4 linked regions of the Ovis aries genome follow. The protein of the gene in region 2 purifies or fractionates together with the protein of the main gene of each other region. This does not show direct contact. Links are inferred from orthologs where the notes say so. Each region holds a gene or a part of one and is shown on either strand. Other genes may lie near its edges.

What was found.
Region 1: the proteins of E2F6 (region 2) and MAX purify together in Homo sapiens (affinity purification with mass spectrometry; 5 studies listed by BioGRID and IntAct, with this or other methods). This does not show direct contact. The link is inferred for Ovis aries from reciprocal best matches to the Homo sapiens genes E2F6 and MAX.
Region 3: the proteins of E2F6 (region 2) and L3MBTL2 purify together in Homo sapiens (affinity purification with mass spectrometry; 5 studies listed by BioGRID and IntAct, counting the BioPlex papers as one, with this or other methods). This does not show direct contact. The link is inferred for Ovis aries from reciprocal best matches to the Homo sapiens genes E2F6 and L3MBTL2.
Region 4: the proteins of E2F6 (region 2) and MGA purify together in Homo sapiens (affinity purification with mass spectrometry; 3 studies listed by BioGRID and IntAct, counting the BioPlex papers as one, with this or other methods). This does not show direct contact. The link is inferred for Ovis aries from reciprocal best matches to the Homo sapiens genes E2F6 and MGA.

The regions. Positions count from the first base shown.
Region 1 is NC_056060.1:75,271,839-75,276,690, forward strand, and holds the end of MAX (protein max), read right to left. Parts: intron 2,882-4,852; coding exon 2,758-2,881; intron 2,285-2,757; coding exon of another isoform or gene 2,268-2,284; exon of another isoform or gene 1,513-2,267; coding exon 1,325-1,512; 3' UTR 3-1,324; downstream 1-2. UniProt on the Homo sapiens protein: Transcription regulator. Forms a sequence-specific DNA-binding protein complex with MYC or MAD which recognizes the core sequence 5'-CAC[GA]TG-3'. The MYC:MAX complex is a transcriptional activator, whereas the MAD:MAX complex is a repressor.
Region 2 is NC_056056.1:20,421,112-20,426,759, reverse strand, and holds the start of E2F6 (transcription factor E2F6), read left to right. Parts: upstream 1-2,143; 5' UTR 2,144-2,443; coding exon 2,444-2,551; intron 2,552-5,648. UniProt on the Homo sapiens protein: Inhibitor of E2F-dependent transcription. Binds DNA cooperatively with DP proteins through the E2 recognition site, 5'-TTTC[CG]CGC-3'. Has a preference for the 5'-TTTCCCGC-3' E2F recognition site.
Region 3 is NC_056056.1:218,200,633-218,205,484, reverse strand, and holds part of L3MBTL2 (lethal(3)malignant brain tumor-like protein 2), read right to left. Parts: intron 3,966-4,852; coding exon 3,842-3,965; intron 2,995-3,841; coding exon 2,915-2,994; intron 1,578-2,914; coding exon 1,460-1,577; intron 1,071-1,459; coding exon 936-1,070; intron 673-935; coding exon 584-672; intron 1-583. UniProt on the Homo sapiens protein: Putative Polycomb group (PcG) protein. PcG proteins maintain the transcriptionally repressive state of genes, probably via a modification of chromatin, rendering it heritably changed in its expressibility.
Region 4 is NC_056060.1:35,375,302-35,380,153, reverse strand, and holds part of MGA (MAX gene-associated protein), read right to left. Parts: intron 4,700-4,852; coding exon 4,466-4,699; intron 3,500-4,465; coding exon 3,323-3,499; intron 2,232-3,322; coding exon 955-2,231; 3' UTR 1-954. UniProt on the Homo sapiens protein: Functions as a dual-specificity transcription factor, regulating the expression of both MAX-network and T-box family target genes. Functions as a repressor or an activator.

The sequences.
Region 1 (4,852 bases), on a different chromosome or scaffold from region 2:
AGAAGGATAAAATAAGTTTTTATTTATAGTCTTATAGTAAAGGGGAAAGCCTTAACTTGCAAGACAATTCTTCAGCAGTATGTACAACATACTTTTTATTTCCATGGAATGGAATCAAACACGGACTGAGACTACAGAGTATACACTAGAAATCAGCAAACGCCAGGAACAGAGTAGGAAAAAGACAAAGAAATGAGGCCGAAACACACAAAACCCTTCACTGGGATCTGCTGACCGCAGCCAGAACCAGGGCTGGATCACATAATGGGGACGGAAGGGGAGGGGCGGGCGAGGGTGGGGAGGGTCCGCACTGGGGTGCGGGTTTAGTACGAGGTGAACTGCTCTTGGTATTTACATACAAAATCAGTTGGCTCTATTTCTTAGAAATACACACGGAAAGAAAGGAAGATTTGATCATTACTTCATGAATCTGTCGCTTTGCCATACCGACATCATCAGAGATAGGGACAATTCACTTGGGTTCAAATTTCAGTAGCAGGAAATAAATATCAAAACATCATCACTGGCCCTCAATACAAAACCTCTACCCAACCCGACCCTCCCTCCTTGGCCCACCCACCCTCTGCCACCCCCTGGCAGCTCCCGTTCCACTGCTGCCGTCCCCTCACGCCACACAAGCGTCACACGGCCTCCCTAAAGCTAGCTGAGAGAAGCAGGAGTGAAACAGGCCGAGACTCTGTGCTGCAAATCTGTCCCCACTTCCTTTTATACCACAAACTTCTCCAAGGATCTGGTCTTTCAATAGGAGCGATAAATAGCCTTTTCAGGGGAAAAAAAAAATCCTTAAAAAGAAGGGGGAATAATTCTGATTACTCCAAACTGGTCATCTTCTGAAAGTAGAGCAGTCCACAGATTCACAAAGTCTATCAAACAGAGGTGAGGATGGCCCAGAAGGAGAGGCCTGGGTGGGGCAGGAGTCCCCCGGGCATGTGCCTGGAGGGGCTGGAGGAGCTGGTGGGTGGTCAGGACACCATGTGCTCAGAGGTCTGGCCGGCCGTCTGTCCTCCACAGAGAAAGCTGCCAAGTTGGGGTGTTTTGGTTTAAAAATTCCTGGTGGGGACAGGGAATCCCTGAAGGGAAACGTTAAAAAAAAAAAAAAAAAAAAGTGGAAACGGGGAAGGAGAACGAGAGCTGTTGTCCAAGAGCTTCTACGTAAAAATAAAATTTAAAAAAAAAATGAGAAAGAGGAAAAAAAAAACAAAGAGTCTCTTAAATGGTTCTGAGAGTTCTAAAGATGAACTGAAAGGAGGATGAGACGACGGAGGAGACAGACAGTTTTTATTGCTGGCCTGCCCCGTGGAGCTTAGCTGGCCTCCATCCGGAGCTTCTTCCTGCTTTGGGGCTCTTCGGGCTCCGACTCCGAGCTGGAGTCCGAGCCCCCATCGAAGGCAGAGATGGTGCTGCCCTTGGCGTTGGTGTAGAGGCTGCTGTCTGAGGAGGGGTAGTTGGTCTGCAGTTGGGCACTCGACCTCGCCTTCTCCAGTGCACGGACTGAAAGGCAACCAAGCGAGCGGGTTACAGCCTTCTGGAGACTAGGGGAGGAACTGAGTCTTGGGTTGGGGTCCAGCCTGTTCTTCCGAGGGCATGCTGGCCCCTGAGGCTCAGGGTGGCTCATAAGTAACTCCCTTCCGCTGGCTGGCCCACCTGCACACTCCCACTTCCCTTTGCCTTTCCCAGCCAGACACGAGTGCTCAGTGGATACGGCCAGCCACTCTGCAAGGCCACCCAACCCTGAAGAGAAGGCGTGTGAGGTCACCATCCTGCCGTGGAAGCCCAGTACAGAGAGAGGAACACGAGCTCGCTGCGGGACCCAGCAGTGCAGTAACAGTGCAGCTGGCCCAGCAATGCCTGGCTCCACAAGGGTGTGAGGGTCACACATTAGCAGGGAAGGATGACAGAAGATGTACCAGCCAAAGAAAAGTTTTGGCTTAGCTCTCATGTACAAGATCCACTTGGAAAGACAAGCTGGACACTTGGAAGCAAGTCACCAATACACAGAGTACCTGGGTTTTCCAACACGGAGCCCCTACATGCAGGCTGCTTGGCCCGGTAACCAACCCGCTGCCGCCTCCCACTGCCCATCCCTCGGTTCAGCTCGTCTTGAGCCTGGAAGGTCAACCCATTTATTTTGGTTTAGTTTATTTTATTTGAGATGTTCTAACCCAGATGGTTACTTGCATTTCCTTTTACTTGCATCTTCCATGAGGGAGGAAGAGAAGTGAATTCCCCAGGAACAAAGAACTTGATCAGCTCTCGCTTTCCCCTGTGGTTGTAGGAAAAGGCGGGTGTGAGCATTGGAGAACAGCATGGGCCTGGCCCATGGGCTGCCCTGAGTGGACTACCGTTGACACGGGGAGCGCTCACTGTCCCTGAACACCTGGAGTCTCTGGCGCTTACACAGCACACTCCAATCCAAGGACCTCACAGCTCTTTTGAGGCACCTGAGGCCAGCTGCGATCTCTACTACCAGTGCAACACTTGGGCCCCAAGAAGGGGAGAGCGAGCAGGTCAGAAAAAAGAATCCAGATGGCTAAGCCTTAGACTCCACTGTTCCCTCACCAAGGGCTCAGGTCCTTCCTCAGGATGGCTACACTCGACTACAGGCCCAAGCAGCAGGGCTGCAGCTGCTCAGGAGCATGGCTCCGTCACTGGTTCTGACTCTGCAGGCCCCGGCGTGAGGCCCTGACCTGGCTGGCGCACAGCAGGGCCAGCTGCCCCACAAGCTCCACTGCTCACCTTGCTGCTCCAGGAGAGCATTCTGCCGCTTGAGGTCATCAATATCTTGCTGGTGTGTGTGGTTTTTCCTTCGCATATACTGGATATACTCTGTGGCTTTGTCTAGGATTTGGGCCCGGGATGCCTGTTGCAATATGAGAAAAAGCAGAGGGGACAAAATAAAGACCTAGTCCATGCAGCAAGGAAACCATTCCTTTCAGCAAAGGCCACGTGGGGGACAGAAGTAGGAGGGGAAGGGCACGAAGCACTAAGTGCTGTAGAGAATCTTCTTTATGCCGGTCAAGGCACCAGCTGCTTTCCACAGCTTACCTCACTGGCACTCTAAGAAAGGTGGTTCCACTAGGAACCCGAGTCTCAGAGAAGTTTACTGGTTTATTCAAAATCACCAGCTAAAGGGTGTAGAGTCTGGATTCAAACTCAGCTCTGTCTCAACCCTGAACTTGTTTCCCAGCCAGCCTCTTTGGTTCTTTAGGTTGCTTTCACATCTTCGGCCAGGCTGTTCTGAAAAAATTAAACTACCACTTAACTGAGAGCTAAGGTCACTCACTCTCTGCTGGGCCTAGCTATAGGCAGCTGGTCCAGAAAGACAAAATCAAGATCTCAGCTGGAGCTGGCTCAGGATGGGGATGGGTACAAAGGTTTTCATCAAGGTCTGAGACTTCAGACAAGTACTCAGATTGTTGTTAACTAGTTCCAACTAAGCCATGTGACCGAGTCACTATTTCAACCTCTCTGGCTAAAGAGAAGTTTGTGAAAGCTGTCAGAGCTTGGTGTCAACACAGGAAGGGCATGAGATTGGGCCATTTCAGGAAGCAACCACACCTTTACCATGGCTGAGGGTAGCCTAGGGACTGCCCTGTAGAGGAACAAGTTAATGAGCTAATAAAATGGATGTCAGGTTACTTGAATCCTGGAGGTCAAACTTGTCTGGGAGATTCCCTGCAGGGTTGCAAACATGGCCTGAGTTACTCATGACCAAGCAGTCAACTGACTGAACTGGCAGAATGGTACAAGGCCCAGAGAACAGAAGCCCGAGACAAGCTAGTCTAGTGGCTGAAGTCCGGCAGTCATGCCACTGAGACTCCTGAGCAGGAGCAAAGCTTCTGAAATGGCAAAGAAAACAGCCACACTTGGGCGAGCAAAACTATACCCACTTGTAGTAAACCCTGACAATCGCAACTCATAGACTCCAGCACGGCCGGGTATCAGAGAGGTTTGGAAGACCCAGGTTGATTCACCCGTTCTCCCAAGCACTAGAGTCTCCAGGCTTTCCTCTTATGGCATCCTTAAGGCAATTTCCTCAAAAGGAAACTGTTCATATTCAACCATTTTTATCTGGTGTGAATTATGTGTCAGGCACAGAGCAGACACTGTGGGGAAACAAAATGTATTAGTCATGGCCTCTTTGCCCAGATGCTTACTTACTATCTAGTTGAGGAGATAAACATATCTATATACAGACAAATCACAGGGCAGTACCAACAAGCGTAACTTGAGTGGTACAGATTACAAAGGCCACGGGAAGGACGGCTTTTGGCCGGGGTGGTCACCTTGTGTGTGCCAGGAATTAGCCTTGGCTCTGCACACAAAGGCTCCCGTCTGAACCAGTGGGTCAGGGTGGGTTAGACTGAGGCGGAATTTGTGAAAAAGGGTTGCTCTGGGCACGGAGAACAGCGTAGACAAGGGCATGAGGGTGGAGACAGGACCAGGTCTCCATCTTCAGTTGAGTATGTCAGCTGATGGAGAGAAAGTGAGGGCACCTACCAGTGGGGGGTGGGGGGCAGGGCACGCAACTCTCGTTACAAGGCCACTTCAGAGGCTGTTTCCCATTTCTGCCAAAGGAGACTTATTAGGGTTAATTACTGGGTGATAAAACGGGGGCCGGGGAAAGGGCACATATTTAGAAGGGACTAATTAAAATACCCTGCCTCTCTGGATGCTAGAGAGGGGATTAAGAATATGTATAGTCAGGATAGGTGGCAGGATGGCAGGGTGGGGAGAAAAGCTTAGGAATCCAGCAGACGGGTCCCTCCAGAGTCCTGTCCCTAAGGTGCTCTGGGACCGCAGACACAGTCTTTCTCGCAGGGTTATTTCT
Region 2 (5,648 bases):
CCCCACCTTAGGCTCTCTTTGGCTCAGATGGTAAAGAATCTACTTGCCAATGCAGGAGACTTAGGTTTGATCCCTGGGTTGGGAAGATCCCCTGCAGAAGGAAATGGCAACCCACTCCAGTATTCTTGACTAGAAAATCCCATGGACAGAGGAGCCTGGTGGGCTACAGTCCAAGGCATTTCCAAAGAGTGAGACACAACTTGGCCACTATACTACAACAACAAATGCCTTTTTATATCAAATCCTAGCTATTCCCAGTTCTAAGTAGGCTACATTCATTAATTCATTTAATCCTCACAACAATCTTAGGAGGTAAGTAGTCATTTAGTTCAGTTCAGTCGCTCAGTCATGTCCGACTCTTTGCGACCCCATGAATCGCAGCACGCCAGGCCTCCCTGTCCATCACCATCTCCTGGAGTTCACTCAGACTCACGTCCATCGAGTTGGTGATGCCATCCAGCCATCTCATCCTCGGTCATCCCCTTCTCCTCCTGCCCCCAATCCCTCCCAGCATCACAGTCTTTTCCAAAGTAGTCATTAATCCCATTCAACAAATAAGGAAATTGAGGCAGGGACTGATTAAACAGCTTGTTTCAGGTCTGGTAAACTTCTAAGCACAGGGAGCCAGGATCAGAAAACACATCGTCTGGCTCCAGTTTTATTATTTATTTATATAGGCGTTTTAACTCCACCTTATATTACCTGCTTCCTGGATTTGTGGCACATACAAATTTTCTTATTGAAACACTTTCTTTTCTTTTTGTAATGGAAGTTGAGTTAATTTACATGCCTGTCTGCATGTAAGTCACTTCAGTCATCTCTTACTCTTAATGACCCTATGGACTGTAGCCCACCAGGCTCCTTTGACTATAGGATTCTCCAAGCAAGAATACTGGAGAGGGCTGCATGCCCTCCTCCAGGGGATCTCCCCGACCGAGAGATTAAACCTGAGTTTCCTGCCTTCTCAGGCGGGTTCTTTACCACTAGTGCCACCTGGGAAGCAACATTGTATTAATTACTGCTATCCAGCAAACTGGCTCCAGCTTTCAGTTCAGTTCAGTCACTCAGTCCTGTCCACTCTTTGCAATCCCATGTACTGCAGCACACCAGGCCTCCCTGTCCATCACCAACTCCCGGAGTTTACTCAGACTCATGTCCATTGAGTTGATGATGCCATCCAACCATCTCATCCTCTGTGGTCCCCTTCTTCTCCTGCCTTCAATCTTTCCCAGCATCTGGGTCTTTTCCAGTGAGTCGGTTCTTCGAATCAGGTGGCCAAAGTTTTGGAATTTAAGCTTCAGCATCAGTCCTTCCAATGAATATTCAGGACTGATTTCCTTCAGGATGGACTGGTTGGATCTCTTTGCAGTCCAAGGGACTCTCAAGAGTCTTCTCAACACCACAGTTTAAAAGCATCAATTCTTCGGCGCTCAGCTTTCTTTATAGTCCAGCTCTCACATCGATGCATGACTACTGGAAAAACTATAGCTTTGACTAGAAGGGCCTTTGTTGGCTAAGGCAGTCCAAGGGGCTCTCAAGAGTCTTCTCTAACACCACAATTCAAAAGCATCAATTCTTCCAGCTCTAAACATTTCCTTTATCTCTCTCCTCCACTGGAATTGGAGATTGTGCCAAATTCAAAGGAGTAACTCCTGTGCTCAGCACGATCTCCGACACCATAGGGAATCATTTATTTCTCAAATTTTCATTTGGAAGGGAGAAAGAAGAAGAAGAAAAAAAAGGTGCACATCAGTAAATAATCCCATGACGGTTCGGTGACCAACACTGACGAAAAAGCATCAGCACTGGGCAAGTGCCTGAGATGTAAATTAACTCCCTGCGCGCTGAGAACTTTCAGTTATTAGTGTGGTTAGTGTCAAGAACTCCGAGGGACACAAGCGAGCTGTCCCAGCAGCCTGGCCTCCCGCCCCGACCCCTCCGTCTGGACCTCCGGCGCAGCGTCTTCCTCTCGCGGTGCTGTCCTCTCCGCGGACTCCGCCCTCCGGGATTTCCTGGGCTCTCCCTCGTCCCGCCCGGCTGAGGGCCGCGTGCGGCTTGCGGGGAGTGCTCGGGCAGAGGCGGCCGCGGCGCCGGCTGCGGCGGCGGCAGCGGGGACGCGCCTGCGCACTGGGAGCGGCGGCGCACTGCGCATGCGGGAAGATGGCGGGACTGGCGTCCTGAGTTGCGCGGGTCACGGTGCTCTTTAGCCCGCCCGCGTCCCCCGTCCCGGGGTCGAGTCTGGTCCGCCAGCCGGTCTAATTAGGCGGCGCCTCTGAGCCGGCCAGGGGCCCGGTTCGTGCTTGACGACGCCCCCTTCTCCCCTCCCGCCCCCCCAGCCCCTGGGACCCGGCGTGTTGTGTTGGGGGGTGCGTCGTCCGAGCGGAGCGGGAGAAGGCGGGAGAGCTCTCGGGGGTGCGAGGCGAGGAGCGACTGGCCGGTCAGCATGAGTCAGCAGCGACCGGCGCGGAAGCTGCCCAGCCTGCTCGTGGACCCGGCGGAGGAGGCGGTGCGCCGTCGCTGCCGCGACCCCATCAACGTGGAGGGCCTGCTGGTAAGCCCCCCCGGGGTTGGGGGCGGGGAACGCGTGCGTGTGGGGGGTCCTCGGGCTCTAGGGTGGCCCCGGGGCTGCTCCCTCGGGCTCCCGGGTTTTCGCACTGCCTGTCACGTCCTCTGAACCAGAGCCGTCGTCGTCCGCTGAAACCCTTTGCCTTATCCTTTCCATGTGCTCCAAAATAACGTTGTCAGCCTCCTCGAATTTTCCTTCGGGCCACAGAGCAGTGTTGGAGAAAATTGCACAGCTTTGCCTGACGCTGGCATGCTCTTCCATCTTTATTTCAGTGGGTCTCTGCAAGCTCTCTTTTTCGTGTTCTCTGCAGCCTCCTCTGCCCGTCTCCTACTCAGCTGCAGCCGCTTTAAACCCTGTCCACACCTCACACGTCCCACCCCACAGCTCCCCATCTTTCCTTCCGGCCACAGAGCAGTGTTGGAGAAAATTGCACAGCTTTGCCTGACACTGGCGTGCTCGCCCATCTGTATCTCAGTGGGTCTCTGCAAGCTCTCTTTTAGTGTTCTCTGCAGCCTCCTCTCCCATGCTCCTGCTTAGCTGCAGCCGCTTAAAACCGTGTCCACACATCCTACCCCACAGCTCCCCCCATTCAGCACGTCTTCCATCCTGTTTGACAGCGAAAACGCAAGGGAGATTAAGACTCTCTGTGAAACGTTCAATTCTGTTGCTCTGGACTGCATGCAGTGTATTCTTCTTATCAGCACTTTTCCATGGAAGGAACCCATCAGTCCCCATTTCTCCCTGCATTCTCGACCTCTCTGCTGCTTTCTTCCCATTACTAGTGAATAGACATTTCCTGAAGTCAGATTATCCAGACACAAGGAGGTGCTGGAAAATAGTGCTCCAAAATAGTTGATGAGCACCATCTCATTTAATTCCGCACAGCAGTTGTAAGGGATTATTCTTGTTTGACAGTTGCCAAGATAGACTTGGAGATGTTAAGTGGTTTTTCTGTGGTTAGTAAGTAGAAAAGCCTGGGTTGAACCTCCCAGTGTCTGACTCCGGATGGTAAATTCTCAACTACTTAAAGTGAAATGAAAAGTTGCTCGTGCGACCCCGTGGACCATACAGACCACAAAATTCTCCAGGTCAGAATACTGGAGTGGGTAGCCGATCCCTTCTCCAGGGGATCTTCCCAAACCAGGGGTTGAACCCAGGTCTCCCGCATTGCGGGTGGATTCTTTACCAGCTGAGCCACAAAGGGAGCCCAAGAATACTGGAGTGAGTATCCTATCCCTTTTCCATTGGATCTTCCCGACCCAACAATGTCCTAAATCCCATTTCCCTCTTGAGAGATCTCTCCTTTAATCCCTTATGCCTTTCCGCCCACTATATCACTTCCCCTTCACAGCCAAACTCTTTGAAAAAGTTGTCTGCACTCTGAGTTTTCTTGCTCACATCTCATTACCACCTTGAGCTGCTGCTGGGGGACCTCAGCCCTAAGCACAACTCTACGACTGTCCTAACCAAGGTCGTCAGCAACCTTGTCAGGTCCAGCGGATATGGTTTTAACACGATGGACCACTCACTCCGTTGGAAACTCACCATTGTGTCCCCTTGGACATACTCTCAGCACTCCATCTGCCTCTCTGGCCTCTTGTGTTCTCTTTTGTAAACTCTTCCTTTTCCCATCCCTTCCATGTTGGTCTTACTCAGCTCTTCAGCCTTCTCCACAGTTTCTTCATATGGGGTGTCATTCAGCACTCTTGTGACTTCTGTTACTGTTTGTACTGGTGGTCTTTTTCTTTTCAGTTCAGCTCAGTCGTGTCTGGCTCTCTGCCACACGTGGACTGCAGCACACCAGGCTTCTCTGTCCATCACCAACTCCCGGAGCTTGCTCAAACTCATGTCCATCAAGTCGGTGATGCCGTCCAACCATCTCATCCTCTGTTGTCCCCTTCACCTCCTGCCTTCAATCTTTCCCAGCATCAGCATCTTTTCCACTGAGTCTGTTTTTTGCATCAGATGGCCAAAGGATTGGCAACTTCAGCTTCATCTTCAGCCCTTCCTATGAATATTCAGAACTGATATTCTTTAGGATTGACTGGTTGGATATCTTTGCAGTCCAAGGGACTCTCAAGAGTCTTCTCCAGCACCAGAGTTCAAATGCATCAGTTCTTCGGTGCTCAGCTTTCTTTATGGTCCAATTCTCACATCCATACCTGATTACTGGAAAAACCATACCTTTGACTAGACCAGCCTTTGTCAGGAAAGTAATGTCTCTGCTTTTTAATATGCTGTCTAGGTTTTTCATAGACTTTCTTCTCATTATTTTAGAATTTGATAAAAGCTATGAACTCTTACTATGGAAAAAACTTTATTTTGCATTTAATGTCAGAAGATACACGTATCCCTTGGAGTTTCAGAGAGTCTTATCCACTCTGGTCGGGCTTCTCTGATGGCTCAGTGGTGAAGAATCTGCCTGCTAGTGCAGGAGACACAGATTCATTCCCCTGGATTGGGAAGATCCCCTGGAGACGGAAATGGCAACCTGCTCCAGTATTCTTGCCTGGGAAATCCCATGGCCAGAGGAGCCTGGTGGGCTACATCCATGGGGTCACAAAAGTGGGACACAACTTAGCCACTAAACAATAACAATCTACTCTGGTAGTTTGGTTACCGTGTCATGACTCCCAAATCTGTAAATTGGGCTCAGAGCTTTCCAGTTGTCTACTATACAACTCTACCTAGATTTCAAACTCATACACCTGAAGTGGAATTCGTGTCTTGCTTAAGCAACAACTCTCGATCTCATATTGCAACAAATGGTACCACACCCTCCATATTGCCCTAGCTGGTATCCTACGTATAATCTTTACCTTTTCCAAATGGACCCCCTCCATCCTGTCTAATAGAAATTAGTCACCAGTACTTGCCACTTCTAGCTGTCATTTTGCCTTTCAGATTGCTATCTTCTCAACTAGTTTTCCTGCTTCTCATCTTGCCCCTGATTTTCCTATATATTCTCTACATAGTAACTAACCATAATGGTCTTTTTAAAGTGTATGTACGATCACGTCGTTTGGCTTAAAGAATCTATCATGGTTCCCAGCTGCTCTCATCATAGAGGAGAAACTTCTTA
Region 3 (4,852 bases), about 200 Mb from region 2:
CCTGGGTGAAGAGACAGGCAGTTCTGTCTGCTGAGATTCTCAAGCTGTCCTGCCTGGGACAGAGGATGATACGGAAGTTCTGTGGCTTTTCCAGCACCGGGGCACTGCGGACTCAGGGAGAGCCATTCCAGTTTCTTAGTGGTGGTGAGGACTGAGCAGTGCAATTCCAAATCCCACCAGGAGGGGGAGCATGCCAGATGGCAGTGCCTTGTATACAACAAGCACTTAGTCAAATCTACTGAATGAATAGAGGTCTCCTACATTGCAGGCAGGTTCTTTACCACTAGCGCCACCTGGGAAGCCCAGTTGAATGAATGCTCCTGAAAATGCTATGAGCAAAGGGAAGGATCTGGAAGAGCACACCAGCAGACAAAGCAACATGACCGATGAGGCTGGAACAGAGAAGGGAGGAAGCTACTGGCAGAAGACGCCCACCACCCATACTTAGGGAATCTGGAGCTGCTCTGATGGCTAAACCAAGGGGGTCTTAGAAAAAATACTCCAGTGAGCAGCACCAAGGACCGACAGAAGGGGAAAGGGCAGGAGCAGGCCAGTCAGGAGACCCCAGGGTGCTCTGCCAGACCTTGATATGGAAGTCCACAGGAAGTGTCCTGGAGCCCACCAGCCGTTTCATGAGGTAGCCCTTCCAGTCGGTGAACTTGGCATGGATGGCTGGGGAGACAGAGCAGAATCCTAAATACAGACTGCCACCACTCTGCTGACGGGTGCCAGTCTGCCCCAGAGAGCAGCAGAGGGCCTGAATGACGTATTTCTGCCTTCTCAGGCCAGCAGTCCTGGACTCCCCAACCTGGACCTGCCCTGGGGCCTCTGGAGGAGGGAGGAGAGGAAGTGAGGAGGCAGGAGGGCTCTGGGCTGGTCTGACTTCTCCCAGGGGGGCCACAGGAACCAGGACGGGGAGCACTCTCGTAACTCACTCCGCGGGGGCACCAGGATCTTGCTGTTGATGGCACACCAGCCGATGGGGTGGACATCCACAGTCCCCAGGTTGCACCAGAAGTCATGGCTGGCATCATTTTCAAAGCCTTCATATCGAAGCAGCACCCGGTACCCTGAGCAGGAGGAAGGGGAGATGAACTCTTAGGCCTTCTTGCTTCTCCAGCCTAAACCAGGCTGCCTACTCCAAGAACCCCTTCTACAACAGCCAGAGCGAAAACAAACCCCTGCCATGTACCTGGAAAGCAGTATGGCACAGTAGGGGAGTAATTTTCTACGGCCTGATCAACCCCGGAATGAACTTCAAAATGGGGGTTTCCAAACTCGCCAAGCTCTGTGGCCCCCTCTAAGGTAGGCAGCACGAAAGCATAGCAAGGAGGGAGAACCAAACTCCAGTGGGCGGGTTTTTTTGTTTTATGAAGCTGATGTCTGCTCCGGCACTGCCTGTCCATCTGGAGATGTCGCCCCCAGCCCCTGACCCCGCCTTGGCCGGAGGAGCACCCACCTGCTGCCTGGATGACCGAGGCGATCCAGTACACCCGGCTGGGGAGCACGGCGTCGCTGTTGAGAACCTCTACCTTCATTCCCTTCATCACATCCTCCCACTGGTCATAGAGTGGGACCTGCGCGGGGGTGAGAGGGTTCAAGGGGACAGTGAGCCACCTGGGTGGGCAGAGGAGAGCGGCTGGCCGCAGGGCCTCACAAACGCGCTGTATCCTCTCCTTTGCCCCTCGGTATTTCCCCTCACTGTGTGTGGAAGGCCGGGCCCAGCACCAGGGAGGAAGCGATGAATGGACGCGCCCGCCTCTGTGAAGAGCCGAGTCAGGGGACGGGAGTCGCAGTGTCAGACAGCCCTGCCCATCTCTACAGGACCGGCTCCCAGTTGCTACCCTCTGGCACATCACACCTGTACCAGCAGACATCTAGCAGTTTCCCACTCTGACTATGTAACAGGCGCTTCTAAGACACAAACAGCACTCCTTCAATCGTCATACCGGGTGGCTGGATTTCTCTCGTGGTACAGTGGGTAAGAACCTGCCTGTCAGTGCAGGTCGTGAGCTCAATCCCTTGTTGGGGACTAAGCACCCACAAGCCAAGGGGCAACTAAGCCCTTGCATTGTAACAAGAAGCCCCTGTGCTCCGCAACAAAGACCCAATGCAGCCAAGATAAACTAAATAGGCCTTCTCCAGATTTCCTGGGGTTTAGGAGCCCCCTCTGCCTCTCTCTGCACCTGTGGGGGACCACTGCTCAGGCCTGCACTCCAAGCCCAGCCCTCCAGTCTCAGCCTCGGCCGCTTCTCAGTGACAGCCACCTGGGGCTTCCCAGGTGGCTCAGTGGTAAAGAATCTGCCTGCCAATGCAGGGTTTGATCCCTGAGTCGGGAAGATCTCCTGGAGGAGGGGATGACAACTCACTCTAGTGTTCTTGCCAGGAAAACTCCAGGGATGGAGGAGCCTGGCGGGCTATAGTCCACGGGGTCTCAAGGAGTCAGATGCAATTTAGGCATTGACAGGGAGTCAGGGAGGCTTTAGCAGAAGGGGTTCCAGGAGGCACCCATATCTGCCTCCCAGGAGCCACCCATATCTGCCTCCCAGGAGCCAATGGGCCGGGGGCAGTTCACAGGCACCAAGCTGTCAACAGGAAAGCACTAAAAATGGGGGAAAAGAGAAAGGGATTCTCACAGTTGGCTCTGGATACCAAAGCACAAAGTGCCATTATGTGAATCAGCCTGGGGGTGACCTCCGAGGGGAGTGCTCAAAGCCCTCGAAGAGGGTCTTTGGGAGGACTTGGTGAAGGACAAGTGGGCAGAAAGGTGAATTGGAGCCAGTGGCAAAGCCGGGCTTTGAGCACCCAGACTTCATCCTGTTCCCTCCCAGTGCTGAAGCAGTGAGGCAGGTGGGTGAACCGGCAGCAGCAACCGGGCCCCTGCCCTCCCTCCCCTCATGCCCAGGGCACTCACATGCTTAAAGCAGCTGACAGGAGCAGCCTTGTAACTGTGATCCTTCAGGAACTTCCCCCAGTCGAAACCCAAGACCAGCGCTGCAGAGCCAAGAGGACCAGAGTTGAGGGGTTGAAGTGCGGAGCTCTCGCAGCAGTGACTCCAGGAAACCAGGCGGGCCTGAGGACTGGGAGCAGCCTGGGCCGACCCCATACCTGCCCCAGCAGTGGCCACTGCAGGAACCCGGGCCTGGGGACCGGGAGCACAGGCCCCTTCCCACCACGCAGCCCAGGCCCACCCCATACCTGCCCCAGCAGTGGCCATCAGGATGGGACGGGGAGGACCTCATCCAGAGGCTGCCAGACTCTCAGTAGAGAGAGTCAGAGGGAAATGTCTGATCTTTCTCCCTCAAGAGAAAGAGGGAAATTCAAAGACCCTCAAGGCTTAAATTCCTCAGACCGCCCCCAACCTCTCATTGGCCACAGCCAATCTAGATGGGTGGGAGGCACACACACCACAGTCCCTCCAGCCCTGATCTGGGAGCTGTGTCAGACCACCTAGTACACAGCTGCCAGTCTACATTTATTTACAAACAGCTACTCATGCTCAGAAAGAGAGAAGTTCCTGATCCCATCACCCTTCTTCACACCAGGTCTAGGTCTCCACTGCCCCAGGAAAACAAAAGCCAGAGAGCTACAGGCAATGCTAAACAAAGGAAGCTAACTCTTGGCTTTTCAGTGCTCAAGAGTAGAGTGATTGAGGGATCTTCTGGGCCATCTCACAGTTACTCCCAGGTGAGGAAGATGCCATCTAAAGCGAGCCTGGGCTGGCCCTTTCTAGCTGGCCCTTCTCCAATCCTGGCTCCTAGGGAGCGACCCCTCCCCTCACCTGCTGAGTCCTGGCACCACACCCCACTGGCTTCCAGAGCACCAGTCCCTACTGACTTACCGTCCTGCCCAGTTGGGGTCCCATCAGCAAGCTGTCCTGTCCCCTGGGAGTGGAGGAAGGCTCCAATTTTGGCAGACCAAGCAGCTTTGTGCAGAACTTTGGCCTTCTTGGTAGGTGGTTTTCCCTGGAGGGAGGAGAGCCTGTTGGTAGCCTAAAGGCTGATAACAAGGCTCTGGATTTGGACTGCCCTGGTAATCTCTTTGGGACTCGTTTCTTCACTTGTAAATCAAGATGATAACAATTATAATGCTTAGCTCAGGGGGGAGTTGCAAGGGTGAGGGTCACATATTGTGCTGAACTCAGAAAGCACTTAGCCATTGTTCACCTGCTGGGGTGGGGGTTGGCAGAGCCAGAGGGCAGGGAGGGATACATTTTTCCATCTTTTAAGCTCTGCTACTGCCAGGAAGTTCTCGCTGGTGGCCAAAGCTCTCAGCCATCTCCTTCCCCTGGTGCTCCTATAGGTTTATGGCAAAGAAGGGGCTTCAGAAGGCTCATGAACTGAACAGAGTTTATGAGGTGCTCAAAGGGGTCCTACCCCAGAGTGAAAGGCCACTGACCTGTGTGTGTGTTAGTCGCTTAGTCATTTCCGACTCTTTGCGACCCACGGACTGTAGCCCGCCAGGCTCCTCTGTCCATGGGATTTTTCTTCAGGCAAGTATACTGGAGTGGGTTGCCATTTCCTTCCCCAGGGGATTTGCCAGAGCCCAGGTCTCCAGCATCAGAGGCAGATTTTTTTTACCATCTGAGCTATAAGGAAAACCTGGTCGGTAATTTGTAGCTTAAGCACTGATCAGAGAGGCCCAGAGAATGTATTAAAGAGATCAATGATTGGGGGAGAATGGACAGACGCATATGTATGGCTGAATCCTTTTGCTGTTCACCTGAAACTAGCATAACATTGTTAATCAGCTGTGTTGTTGTCTAGTCACTCAGTTGTGTCCGACTCATTTGCAACCCCATGGACTGTAGCCAATCAGGCTCCTCTGTCCATGGGATTTCCCAGGCAAGAAT
Region 4 (4,852 bases), on a different chromosome or scaffold from region 2:
TCTTTACATCCTGTGCAGGTAACAGTGAATGAAACCTCCAAGCACCAGGAGGCTGGCTTGATTTGTGAAATACCCAGCCCCACAGTTTTTGTTTTCTTTTTGGCCACTGTCTGGTATGGGGAGGGAATGCTTATCACTTTACATGTCTCTTGAGTGATGTGATTTGTGAAAGGGGAAGGGCTCCCTGTATGTCTACCTCCAAAAAACACATTCAAGGTAGAAATCCTTGGTACCGTGAAATGGTCTTCTCAACACCCAAACACAGTAAGGGAGAACTAGTTAAATTTTTACATCTCAAAATGATTACCTTAGTAATAAAAGCTTTTTTAAAAGCATTCCTACTTTACCAGAAGGCTTAGATTTATAATTCTGATTGAAAAGGTGAGGGAATGGAAGCTACTTAGGATATGAAAGAAAAGAAAATTTTGTTGAATGATACTAAGTCCTTCACTTTGGTATTCCATGGTACCCATCCTCTCTCCCCCTATTCTGAAACACCAACTAAAAGCTACCTCTTCTGGATCCCTTTGCACAAGTGCATCACATTCCTTGGACTTCAGACTTAAAACAACAGCTATCAACTAAGGTTCAGTCCATAGCAACTCCTAAGTCTCAAGCAGCTTTTACTCTGGGAGGGAAGAACTAGGAACCACTATGGACCTAGTCTTGTTACAAATTCCTTGGGTAAGAGGGGCACCTCGTGTTCAGTAATGGATCGCATCTTCTTGGAGAGGATGAGGAGACCCAGCACCACAAGTGAGGTAACACATTTTAACATGATCAGAATTTCATAGTAGTTAATTTCTTATATGGATGTCAGCACCCTACCCCCTTTCTCTACCATCATTCACCACATTTCAAAGTCAAGGATCACAGTTCCATGACACAAACAGGTGCCTGCAGAGAAAGGAGGTTTCCCCTCACAGCCTGGCTTCTGCCTGAGAACAACTAAGTTCATTTCCCTGCAGAACTTGGCGAGGCCCCAGTGTTGCCCAGTTTGGCCACAACAGGTGCCAGTGTAGGCATCACCTTGCTCTCCCGGCATTCCTGATCATTCCCTGTTAAGTTCATTTTGTGTCCAACAGACCCAACTTTGGCAGCTACAGGTGCCAAACAAGGCATCACCTTGAGACTCTGACCCTCTGTATCACTGGAAGGATTAGCTACTTTTAAACCTAGAGGTGCCAGCTTTGGCATGGGCCTCCACAAGGTGTCTGCGCTGCTGTTCTCCAGGCCACCCTTCATGTGGAGAATGGGGGGTGAGGACACGCTTTCAGGCTCAGCAGGGATGCCAGAAGCATTCTTCCCTTCATCCCCCGGTTTCCTCTGGGGAACGAGGGAGTCCTTTATCTCAGAGTCAATGACAATCTTCAGCACATCTGGTTCAGAGGCTGGTTCTGCAAGTTGCTTTTCACTTTCAGAAAAGTCATCATCTTCCAAGTGCAAGAGGAGGGGGCTGACAGAGTCACTCTCCCCTTGCACATCAGGCAATTCCTTCAAACCAGTTCCCAAGTGGCCAACCTGGAAAGTTGCTCTGTTCCCAGGAGGAAGCTTACTGATAAAAGCCCGGCGAGCATCCCCTGGGAACTCTGTATCCAGAGAGCTAGGCAGTTCAGCCAGGCTAACAGAGTCATCATTTAACTGCTGATTAAGAAAGGCAATCTCATTGAGCAGAGATGTCAGTGTCTCATCAGTATCATCCTCATCTTCCATACTAGTTAGCAGTTCACTGGGATCCAATGCTGCTTCCTCTATAGCTGATGCTACCTTTCTCAATTCCATCTCTATGCTTGAGTCTTTGAGATCTTTCATCTTTAATTTATGAAATGGAGACTCCTTTGTCTTCAGTCTCTCCCGTCTTGATTCACTCTCTTTCCATTTATGCTGACTCCCTCTGGTATCACCAGAAATCTTTTTGGGTAAGAATTCTTGTGCTTCTTGCATACTGGAAACATCAACCATTTGTGGACAACCAGAATCTTTATGTGACAGATAAACCTGTGCTGTACCCAGTGCCATTCTGACATCTCTATGGTTGCCTCTGGAAGAGATTCTACCCAAATCTTCACAGGAGTTATCCTCACTCCTGACAGTGTTTTTCAGGTGGTCAGGTGGCTTGCCATCAGGAACTTCATGGGGGTATTTGCTGCCACTCATATCTACCAAACCTCCCTCTGTTGCCAATGATGTCACATTAACAATTCTTGGCATCATAAATAAGTCGTCATTTTCTAGGGAAGAAAAAAAAAAACTCATTTATCTATAGTGGTAAGCACTCTCTCCCATTCATACCCAATAACCATCTCAAAGGAGTTAAATTTTCACCATCTACTTTTAGCAAGAAGATGAAAGGAAATACTAGTTTTTCAAATTAGAGTTAGCCTAACAAGAAAATAGGTAAAATTTAACCAAAAGACACACTGATATTCCATCATTAATAGAAGTCCTATTTAATATTTTTTATATAAATGCTCCCCAAGTTTATCTTTTTGTCCTGAGGCAGACACGCATCTTGACTCTGCTCACCCAGTAACTGCTACTCTGACAGAAAGATGAAGCCCTAAAGGCAGCACTCTAGGAAGATGACTCCTCCAGACTGGGTTTAGCAGTGTTAGTATTGGTAAAGATGCCCTTTTACCTTAACAGAAATTAAGGTTTGTAAAACCTAAATTATCAAAGTAAAATTTCCTTTTCAACTCAACTCCTCATTGCCAAAAGAAAGGGTGCTCCAACTTTATCAGGTTAGTAATGTAGGAGTGCACCATCTTTGAGTACAACACAAAACTGATACATATTTATCAACACCAAAAGCTAAAAGAATGACTCCTCACATTCCTTTTATTTTCACATCTTTTAAATTCTTTCCCTAATTAGAAACTGGGCTTCCCAGGTGGAGCCAGGGTTGAAGAACCCTCCTGCCAATGCAGGAGACACGAGAGAGAGGGATTTGATCCCTGGGTAGGAAAGATCTGGAGGAGGCCATGGCAACCCATTTCAGTATTCTTGCCTGGAGAATCCCATGGACAGAGGAGCCTGGAGAGCCACAGTTCATAGGGTCACAAAGAGTTGGACACAACTGAAGCAACTTACCACACAATTAGAAATTAGGAGAGATCACAAAATAGTTCCCATCCCCAGGTAAAAAAAGACCAATTGATATCACAGATAGAGCCAAACAGGTTCCAAAGAGACCCCTCTCATACAGACTTGAATACAATGGCTCTTTATTACTACAGAATATATTCAAAGGCTTTCTCCATCACTTTGAGATACCAGAGACAACTCTTACACCACCCATTGAAGACAACACTTAAGACAATACCTGATTGAGCCACAGCACTACTGGCAACTTGAGGTTTCAGATCTGTTTCTAAGAGAGCAGGAGAAACAGTAACCACTGGTCCTGAGAATAGGGGACCTTTCAAAGTGAGCAATTGCCCTTGTGGAGTCATCACAATGTTGGCAGAGGTGTGTGGAGTATTAGAGGGTGAGGTATTTTCTGTAAAGAACATCAGAAATTAGTTAAGGATAAACGATCTTCAATTAATGCTAGTGTACAGTCTAGGAATGTAGGAGACATGCCTAAAACCACACTCTGACTTAAAAAGCAAGACATTTCAAATTTGTTGGGGAACCTCAACTTGCAATTTACTTTTTGAATGACTTTTCAGTAATGGTTACCTATCCACTGATTCTCTTAAAGGACAGAATTTTATTTTTGCTGAGGAACAGAGCTACGGAACCACTTTTTCAATGGAATGCTTCTGATGGTCTTGCTGGTGAAGCAGGATGAAGGTACACACTATTTTATCCCTAGGTTTGCTTTCCTATAAACCTCTAAGAAATTACTTCAAGCTTTTAGACCTCAGTTTTTCCATCTGTAAAATAAGGTGACTGGACTAGATGGTCACTAAAGTCCTTACTTATCTAGCAATAACATCACTTGAATGTGCAATGTGAAAACTAACTCATATTTTAGTATACATCACCACCTTCTTAGCTGATATAACAAACCAGATTTCCTTGGTTGCTACACTTGGCTATCCAAAGAGTAAAAGAGTAGAAAAGGATATACCATTTTCAGAGGATATAAGCAAGTAATGTAAACATAGTAATGTAACATAGCCTCACCTTCAAAATCATATAGGACAGAGTAAGAAATCAAAACCAATTTACTTTGTTCCTATATAGCAATTCATTGACAGACTGCAATCTGATTAAAAAGAGCTTGGTTAACAAAAATAAACTCCTACCAGAAATAAGTCTTATATTACCATGACGGATAACTTATTAGGATTTGCTTGAGTGTGTAAAGCTAGAAAATGAAATCTAATGTAGTTAATATTCTGCTTTTAATACAACTCATCTTTCATCTAATTAAAACTAAAATTATGGCCAAGATGTTCAGTTCTTTAATCTAAACCAAATGTTCATCTGCATCAAGGAAAGCAAATGTCCCTCCTACCTGTGGCCTGGTCTTTTTTTCTGGAAAGAATCAAAGGCTTCCCTTTCCTGTTATTTATAAACATCTGTCCGAGATCTACAGATGATGCAGGAGCTCCTTCCTGCTGTTTGCTAGTTCTGGGAGACACAGCAAACTCATCTGATCCCATCTTCTTCTTTCTCTTTTGTGCCTCTAATGCTTGTTGTTTTGCATAAATATACTCTAGCTTCTTCAGGACCACTTCTTCTGTCTTACCTATAGGTTGAGAGGAAATAAACTGTCACACTCTATAAGACCCCACATAATAATGAGAAGTCGAGTCCAGTTGATTTAACTATATCCCCAAAAATATGGCAGTCAAGAGTGATTATAATTGGGAAAAAAAAAAAAAGTCCCACCCAGTCAAAA